2 linked regions of the Caenorhabditis elegans genome follow. Changing the gene in region 1 together with any one later gene gives a genetic interaction. Each region holds a gene or a part of one and is shown on either strand. Other genes may lie near its edges.

What was found. A genetic interaction does not mean that the proteins touch.
Region 2: of bltp-2 (region 1) and fbn-1, changing one enhances a phenotype caused by changing the other (phenotypic enhancement), as found in Caenorhabditis elegans (one study listed by BioGRID).

The regions. Positions count from the first base shown.
Region 1 is NC_003279.8:15,047,677-15,052,538, forward strand, and holds the start of bltp-2 (FMP27/BLTP2/Hobbit GFWDK motif-containing RBG unit domain-containing protein), read right to left. Parts: upstream 3,025-4,862; 5' UTR 3,004-3,024; coding exon 2,957-3,003; intron 2,747-2,956; coding exon 1,301-2,746; intron 875-1,300; coding exon 413-874; intron 71-412; coding exon 1-70. Other genes in the region: zipt-1 (Zrt (ZRT), Irt- (IRT-) like Protein Transporter), read right to left, coding at 3,470-3,838, 3,938-4,269, 4,412-4,520, 4,598-4,744.
Region 2 is NC_003281.10:7,623,386-7,628,385, reverse strand, and holds the start of fbn-1 (EGF-like domain-containing protein), read right to left. Parts: upstream 3,001-5,000; coding exon 2,925-3,000; intron 2,445-2,924; exon of another isoform or gene 2,393-2,444; intron 2,175-2,392; coding exon 2,072-2,174; intron 1,591-2,071; coding exon 1,484-1,590; intron 1,434-1,483; coding exon 1,096-1,433; intron 801-1,095; coding exon 512-800; intron 298-511; coding exon 64-297; intron 15-63; coding exon 1-14.

The sequences.
Region 1 (4,862 bases):
TATGTGCTTTTTTCGAGGCACTTTTCGTGTTAAAGTTGACGGATTCGGAAATGATAGGAGTTGAACGGTTCTGCAAAAAAGGAATTTTATTGAATATTAAAATGTCAAATTAAAAAACTAATTTATACTGTTTTACCTTAAATTTAGAAAATTATGTTTACCAAGAGGATTTTGTTGTTTTTTCTTGAAAGGTAAAAAAAATTCAGAATTTTTAAAAATCATGTCAATTTTTCATAAAATCTATCTGGCAAAAAATTTTGGCGGGAAATTCAAATTTTCTGAGCAAAAGAAGTGTTTTAAATTTAAATTTGCTGACTAGCCTCTGGCATTCGGTAGTTTTTTTCAATTAAGTTTTAATTTTCAAAAAACCGCTAAAAATGATTTTCTCCCATATTCCTGATAAAACTCTCACTTTTTGACAGACTTATAAGCGTCAAAAACAATGAGATGAAGCTGTGGAGACCACGCCAAGAAGACCTCGCTCGATGTGAAAACTGATATTTTATCGATAACCGATGATTGTTTATCAATGAGAAACTCCAAAGTGTTCACCGTAATGAACTGTTTGAATTTGAATTCAAATTGATTAGCTCGTTTCTCTCGTTCCTCTTTATATACTCGTTCTCTCTCCAAATGGCTCCATCTCCGAGTTGGTGAACTGTGAATTTCGGCTGCTTCTTCAACTACTCGCTGCGATTCGAAAATATCCGCGAGAAGAACATGATCTTCAGTATCTTCTCGAATTCCGGTCGCGCCACGCATCATCTCCATTTTGAGAAGGCCATCTTTTTGCCAGTTATCGGTAATAAATTCGAGTTTGGAAGCACATAGTGCCGCGTAGGATTTGTTCGTGGCGTTCACTAGTACGGCTAGTCTGTAATTACTTTCTTTGTTATTGAAAAAAGTCTCCCTCCAACTTTAAAGATCGGGTAAATATTTTGAAATGGCTTCAATTTGGCTCCTGATCAAAGGTGTAAAATCGAAATTGTTTTGTTTTTTCGATTTTTCAAAATTTGCTAATAATTTTGGCCATTATATAATAATTCTTCTTCTTTTTAGAAAAAAATTTTATATTTTTTCTCATCAATATAAACAAAATTAGATTTTTAAAAATCATATTTTATGGTTAATTTTCTGAACATGAACATTTTTTTTTGATTTTCCAGAAAATCGAAAAATCGAAAATTTTTTGATTTTTTGATTTTCACTCAAAAACACCGAAAAATCCACGGCGCGCTCCGAAGAGAATGTCTTTCGCGGTATTTTGAAAATATTCTTGGGCCAGGATTTTTTTCTTTACCTATTAGCCGACACTTGAACCGCAAGGCACAAATTCCCAGCTTCTTCCCCATTAGCAGAATGCTCGGCTCCAAGAATTCCATGAATAACCCCTTCAATTTGTCGAGCCAATTGATCGGACCATTCGAACTTCACATCATCACATCCCACAGTAATATCTAACAAATTCTTCTTCGAAAGTTTCTTCCATTGCGCTATAAATGCTCCAATAAATAGAGTTTCCCCCCATTCATGGTATTCGAATTGTTGTAGGGATTCAGGATCGTCTTGTGATCCGAAGAAAAGCATCTCGATTCCAAGTTCAAATTGAGTAGACGTTTCATTCGACTTTTCAAACGTGAGAAAGCCTAGCTTAAACCACGATCGGTGGGATTCAAAGTCGACAATTTCGGCCGACAAATCACAGAATTCAAGAAAGATTTGATAATCTGATCCTCTCGATCCTCCTGAAGATCCTTGATGTCCACTGATTCTTTGGAGCTCTTTAAGACTCTTATTCCACCACTGAACATCATGGAACGCTAGTTTAGCATGAACTCCTTCCACAGAGCAGTGAAGCGTCTTCACAGCCGTCTCAAACTTTATCATGGTAAGTTTAAGCTCACTTCTGAGCAGCTGATCTGCGATGTTCAGCTCGGAAATCACTAGTATGCTGGTTTCCAGGTTTCTAGTAAATTGGATTTGCTTTATACCAGCCGTGATGTAGCGGTTATTCGTGGTATATTTGATGGAGAACGAGTGGATGACCACGGTCATTTGGAGTAGTTTCAGGGGAGTTTTGAGTTCTGCAGAGCCACTTCTTTCCGTGTATCCAGTCCAACTGCTAAAAACTTCAAAAAAGTCATCACTGAACGCGATCGCCGGTGACGAAATCCTCAAGGCCACGTTATCCACAACATCCTTATCGATATCTAAAGAGAGTTGAAACGGCATTGACAGCTCCGCGAGCAAGCTCCCACTGTTCCTTCCTCGTCTCAAAAGCTTCGCCTGTATTAGTGAGCAAGACGTCTCGAATTGCCATCCTTCTCTGCTCCGGAACGTTTCAAGCGACAACTCGTCGATTGTCACGTGCAACAGGCAATCCGGTATCGTATTCATTACTACAATATGTACACGATTCACCACAAGACCACAGTACTGAGCGATTCGAGTGAATCGAGACGTCCAGATGTTTAATTTGATCATTTTCGACGGATCTTCCACCTCTTCCACTTTTCCATACCACTGTACATTCTTCTCGGCCTCGATCCTCACATCATCGAACCGCAAAACACAAAAGCGTGTCGGATGAGCTCGATCCCTCGACAACGAGATTACGTCAATGTGAATGGAGAGCCACGAGATTTTGATGGTGACGTCACGCAACTGAACGAATCCCACACCTCCGATGCGAACATGAGATTTTGTAACGAATGAGAAGATCCACGATAGAATCACATCGATGTAGCTGGAAGTTTGTTATTTTAAACTAATGTTGCAGCCATAAATTTCTTTTTTTTAGATTCTCAAAAAAATTTACAGATTTCTTTTTTCCTTTTACTTTTCAAGAGAAATGAACTTTTTTTCATAGTTTTCTTTTGAAAACACAAAAAAAAAATCTGAAATGTACGTTTTTTTTAAAGTTCAAAACCCAAAAACTTGTAGCCTAGAAATTTACCTCAGAAAAATGAGAAAAACTGTCAGAAGGGAGAGAAGGACTATCATAGTGCGTCCGGCTGCATCTGTCTGAAATATCAGTTACTTTGAGAAAATTTTAAAAGAAAAAGGCATCACAACAACGAGAGCGTCTAGTGCTTAAAATAAAATTTGGAAAAAACGGCTAAAAGTTAAAGATAATAGTTATTCAATTTTTGAAATTAGAAAAACATGAGCTCTGTGAGTCTTAGGATTGTGGGTTTGGTACAACAAATGGGAGCTTTAAAGCCGTCGGGAATGTCAAATATTAAGTAATGGAATTGGGAAAATGAATGAAATACACAGGTCTATGGCGAGCTGGAACCCGGGATGAGAAAGTACAAGAAAATGTGTGATAGCGAAAAGATGGGACACAGAATGTACACAAAAATCGAGTAAAATTGCACAGAATTAGGAAAAAAAAACTAAAGCAGAGAAAATGCTACAAAATGTCAAAAATTAATCGAATTCCTGGAGAAAAAGAAATACAAATGTCCTAAGAAGCTTCGGGGAAAATCAAGATAAAAGCGACAACGATTGCAAATCCCATATAAATGAAGAACATCTTGAGAATTCGATATTTTCCATTATGCAATTCATGTGGAATCACTTCAAAAGTAGTAATATACAAGAATGTTCCACAGGCAATTGCTTGTAGAATTGATGAGACAATTGCAGCAAATGATTGTTCTCCTCCACTGATAAATTTCATGATTCCAATTCCAGCTAGACCACCAATCAATACTTGAACACTAAAAAGGAATTGTGCAAGTGCAATCCATGGAGTTGTTAGATTTGCTTGAACTAGACGAACTCCAAGGCAGAAGCCCATTATGCATTTGTGAAGTATTAGCGCTCCGAAGATCTGCAAAATAAATTAAAAAAAAAAAACATTTTTTGTTTTAAATTCTAATTTTAATTTTAAAAATGAAGAAAATAGTAGTTTTAAGGTAGCCGGCAGAACCTGAAGCAACTGAGAAGCATCTGACGTGACAGCTAACGAGAGTCCCTCGAACAGAGCATGAACAGAGAGTGCCAATACTAGCATGGCAACTCCAATACTCGATTGGGCGGCAGCTTCGTCTCCTTCTTCTTGTGATTCACCATCTTCAGATCTTTGATGCTCATGATTATGACTATGAATATGGTATCCAACATGTCCGAATACATTTCGGTCTTTCGCCGCTTTGACAACCTGATCAATTGTGAGAACCAATAGAAATCCGACTGCTACAAATGCCAACGGAACTGGGAACTCCGTTGCAATCTTGGTCTTCTCGAAGGATTCTATTGAGTCTGCAAAATGTTTCAGGTTTTCTACTACATTTTAGCGAGTGTATTGCCAAAATGGGATTTTTGGCGAATATTCTTCAAAATTTGGACTAAAATAGCATTTCTCTGATGTTTTTTTTTTTTTGCAAAATTTTCCACTTCTCACCTGGAAGCAAATCAAGAAGGCAGGCGCCTAGAAAAACTCCACCACCGATGCACGAGATGAACGAGAGAATATGGCTCCGCGCCCATTCTCCTTTTAGAAACGTGGCTATCTGAAAGTTGACGAAATTTTCAAAATGAAATGTGATCACATCACATGCGAACATGACAAAAAAAAGTTTTGGCTCACCATTCCGGCTGCAAACGTGAGCGCGAACAGAACGATGAGCAATACGGCGCGGAGTGCATCCTTCGGTTCTGCCCGTTCTCCATGCTCTTCCCATACGTTTTTTAGAAATAACCGTGCAGTTAAACGAGAAACAATTCGTCCGAACATCTTAAATTTTGGAGTACTCAGCAATTTTCGTAGAAGGTAGCGAGAAAAAGAGAAAAATGGATGGAAAGTTAGAATTTTTGTGTGGTAATATTTTTGAAATATTTGTAAGAAGAATATT
Region 2 (5,000 bases), on another chromosome or scaffold:
AAATGCTCCCTGGTCTGAAACTTATGAGCTTACTTAAAGTAATTTGGGCAAAATGTAACTCACCTTTAATACATGTGGCGTCATCTTGTCCATTTTTGCAACAAACGTATCCTCCGTCCAAATTCAAGCATCTTCCGCCATCTGAGCATGGTGTATCTTTGGCATCACATTCATTAATATCGTGACATGTGATTCCATCTCCTGTGTATCCAGTTTTACAGTCACAGATGTCTAGGACAATGTGACAAGATGCGTGTCTATCACAGATTGCAGAGTTTTTACGGCAAGACGATTTTGCTGAAATGGTGGAAATTATATATTTAGGTAAATCAGTGCTGTTAAAACGCATAATTTTTCATTCTTTGTCTTAGCTTTCTGAAATTTATTTCGTATTTACCCTCACGTTCTCGCAAAAATTAAAAAGTTGCTAGAAGTGCAAGAATGTGCGACGAATGTACAACCAAAATATTTCAAAATTTACAGGGTAGTTTGACGGAATGCCCACACTTACGTTGACAATTCTTTCCATCTCCTTCAAAACCTTCCTCGCATTCACATTCATATCCACCAATAGTATTGACACAATCAGCACGTACATCGCATTTATGAAGTTTCTCAGATCCACATTCATTTACATCTTCACACTTTCCATCAATTAGCTCATACCCGGGAGAGCATTTATTGACACATTTGAATGATCCAATTGAGTTTTCGCAGATTTCGTCTGCGTCGCAGTTATGGGCTCCAGTCTCACATTCGTTGATATCTGCGCATTTGTCAAGACCAGATCCCTGGTTTCCCTGGAAATTAGGATTTTATACTTTTTGATCCCACAAAGTTTGGTCTTTTTTCGAAGTCACAAAATCATTCTAAATTCAAATTTTGTAACTTTGCTCGATACTTTCCCACCCATTTGACACTTTGTTCTCTTCAATCATCCATGAAATTGAATTTATATATATATATATACATATATGGCATGACTAAAGTGGAAGAATTCCAAGTCTCATTTCTCAAGTTTTCAAGTACTTGTTTTTCGAATTTTTAGATTAAAAATAGATTCTTATGTTTGTGATAATTATGGCAAAAGCCTACTTTTGGTGTGAACCCTTGTGTGCAATTACAGTAGTAAGTTCCAGGCAGGTTGATACATTTAGAATGTTCTGGGCATCTAGATGTAAGTTTATCTGAGCATTCATCAATATCAGTACATTCGTGTCCATTTCCTTCATATCCTGGCAGACACCGACACTCATAGGATCCCAACGTGTTTTGACATTGAGCCATCATATGGCAAGGATGCTCCAAACATTCATTCTTATCTTGAAGCTCACAAGCTGAACCAGAGAATCCGGAATCACAATAGCATTGAGGTTTGGCTCCATCGTAGAGACACGCTCCTTTCCCACTACATGTTGACTGGCATTTGTGTTCTGAAAGAAAATTGATTGGAAACCTGCACTTTGAAAAAAAAAAGGCTAACCACAATAAGGGAAAACTTCATCGTGCATAGCAGGATTCACAAAACAATCTTGTTTTCCATCGCATAAAGAGCTCATGTTATGAATATGCAGGTCTGTTGGATCGGAGCTGAAAATTCAAAATTTTAAACCAGTTTTTTGTCCTTTTTCTCTCCTTGATCCCACAAAGTTTGGTCTTTTTTCGAGGTCACAAAATCATTCTAAATTCAAATTTTGCAACTTTGCTCGATATTCTCCCACCCATTTGACACTTTGTTCTTTTCAATCATCCATGAAATTGATTTTTTGTGTTGCTATTCTCTCAAGGTTAACAACTCTTCGGTGTTCCAAAAAAAAGTTTATGACACCTCTGTGTCACTCTTTTGATACGCCTGTTTTCTTGCCTGATGACCCATTTGGTTTTCTTTTAATTGGCTGTTTTTGGGCACTACTGTCAGAATTCAAGAGAAATTTTAACTTAGAAATTTGGAAAACAAAGAATTGATAAACAAGATATCTCTTAAATTTTCCAGACAATCTAGTTTGGATGTTCACATCCATATAACTTGCTAGTTTAATCAGTTTAAGAATTTCAATAACTAAATGCTCACCTGTGCTGACAAATAACTGTTGATGTATCGAAATTTACAACAAATGTGGGTCGAAGATCTGGAGTTGATGAGTTCACAAAGTTTTTAGCGATTTGATGACTCCCTGAAAAAAAAAACAACTTTACTGAAACTGTTTTCTATTTTATATCTGAGCAAGTTGGATGTTTTTTAACTCTAGGTAAAATGTGAATCATGGGCAGTCTTTGAAGTGTCAAAGCTTGCGTAAAAGTTCCCAACATTTAATCTATCTGTTCCCAAATACCAATTGTTCATGTCATGTCATTTTTCTTAACCAACAACACACAAGACCACCGCAATTCCAATCATCAAACATGTTGTTTCCCGCCGTCATAAATGGGTCAGTGATGACCTTGGCAGGCTGGATACAGGCGGCACCGGGGCACCTCCGCTCTCGCCCCAAAAAGTAACCGAAAAAGTGAGATGGAAGATGAAGTAGTGGGTACAACTACTTGTAAAAACGGAAGATCAAGAAAACGGTTGAATGACACATTTGTAAAAATCCATAGGTGAAGCCATATGGTTTCAGTTTTATGAGTTTGCTTTCATGGTGTTTTACTAGGTGGGCTGTAGATCAAAGGTAAAAGATTTTGAAACAAAACGTCGAGTTCATGAAGCTTTTGGTAAAATTTGTTGGTTATCTAGTTCTAATTTTTGGATCTGCATCACTTACTGTGAATTAAATCCCCAAATGTCAGATACTAGTGTTCAATGTGCTCTTAGCGTAGCTTTTTGCTCAAGATTTTTTGGCAAGTTTTTAGCTAAGCTTGACCCAAATTAGAAATTTTTTATCCCCGTATTAAACCCGTATTATGTAATATTTTCAAACCAATACCTCTGCACAGGGCTAGTAGCACCAACGGGGTGATGAACCATGGTGAGGAGCAGGAGCCCCGGCTCCTCGTAGACATTCCTGCAAAATTCAATTTTCAACAAGTCTGCACTTTTTCCTGTCAAATTGCACTTTCGAAGAAGAAAGATGACTATCAATTAGAAAAACACGCGGCGAAAGGAAACGGGAGAGAGAAAAAGATAGAACTTAAAAAACGATATATGTAAATGGGAGTGTGATACCTACCGAAAAGGTGATGGAACTGTAATTGGATAAAAGTTGAAAAATGGAATCTGATTATTCCAATAGCAGAGATAAGGTATTTGATGGGTAAGTGCGTATGCTGTGTCTATGAAAATAAAAGTACAAAGAGCAAATTGACCTAGATATGATAACTAAAATCTGACAGGCATACGTTTTTGTCTTTAAATATTCTTATACAAATTATTACCCGGTCGAGGCGTTATAGAGGTGTCTTTCACACGCCTTTTCTTTAGATTTTATAAGGGCGAGAGCCGATAAGGACAAGAGCTGGGCTTGAACTGCGAGTCCAATCAAACCACATAATCATATTGTTGAGCATGATTTGAAACGTACAAAAAATACGAGATATGAACCGTAAGAGTAGCTGCCAGGGTGAAGCAATAAGGCGGAAAATGGTATCTAACGCCTTCCCGGGTTCTTTGATTACCGTTTCTGCATCAAAGTAAAGATTAAATTTTTCATTCGATAAACATCCAGAAGATCTTGGAAGCCTAAAACAATTCAAAGATCTTGTTTGAATTCTATCGATCTAGAGTTTAATCTACATAGATTAATCTCAGTTTTCAGAACACAGTTCTATCGTTTTTACAGTTCATTAAAACTAGCTTGTTCATTAATCCAATGAGCTGTTCAAAATCAAGAACCTGTGAGTGGGCAGCTCACACTAAATTAGGCTTTGTAGATTTGTCACAGATTGTTAGTGATACATATAAAAAATCATTAGAAAAATTAATTTTAGGTCAAATTATTTTGAGATGAAAAAATGTTCTGAATCTTCAAACATAATGCCTAGAGCATAAAAGTTTTCGAAGTGCACACGCCTACAGATGCAAGTACATATAACTGAATTGTTTGACCCTTACACTTTCCGACCATCTTTCTCTTTTTGAACCTTTTAAACTAACAAAACACATGCAAAACTCAGTTGCAAAAACTACGAGGATCACGCACCAAACTCTCTCCACGCCTCAAAATTTTCTTCATGCATTTCCGTTCGGTTCCGTTCAAAACACTTGAGATTGAGTAGTAATAGTAGATGTGGGGGGATTCCACGGACTACACTGCTTAATGGGGTTACGGTCTCATTCTTCTTTGCATGTGCAAATAGTGGAATAAACACATCTTTTCTGGGATGGATAGACGCAACAACCAAAACACGAAGATTAAAAAGTTTAGACTGTGCAATTTTTTTTGGAAGAGAGATTATTTTTAAGTTTCGACCGGCAACCAACTTTTAATCACCGGAGAGGATCAAAGATAAGCTTGAACTAATAAATTATTAGAATTGTACATTTAATATTCAAGCTTTATAAGTGAATGTGATCTAAAAGTGTTGAGCTCCAAATTTTGAAACTTTGAGCATTAAATTGGGAATATCCTACCTCCTTATTTAAAAACTTTGGGCTTCGAATCTGCCATTTTGATATAGGAGTTTTTTTTCAAACTAAATTAAAGAAGGTTTCTCATGTACAGTATGATTGCTTCAACTAGGGAGATCATACAACCGTGAAGTTTATGCTTAGTTTTTTTTACTAATCAAAAAATAATTGTGAGAAAATCTGAAAACCTAGTATAAATGTTCGATTTCAACTTCAGGATGTATTTTAGCTCATGCCTTCAGAGCAATAAAAGGGAAACTTTGAGGAACTCAATTTTTCAATCAAGAAACTCAGAGATCTTAGACAAACAAAAACTCGGGATGGGTCTACTCTACTTCTTCGTAAACAATAGCTTGAGATCCCGAACGACGTAACCTCAAGATTGAAAAGGATGAAACTTATAATGAATAATGAATTTCGGAAGAAGAATGATTGA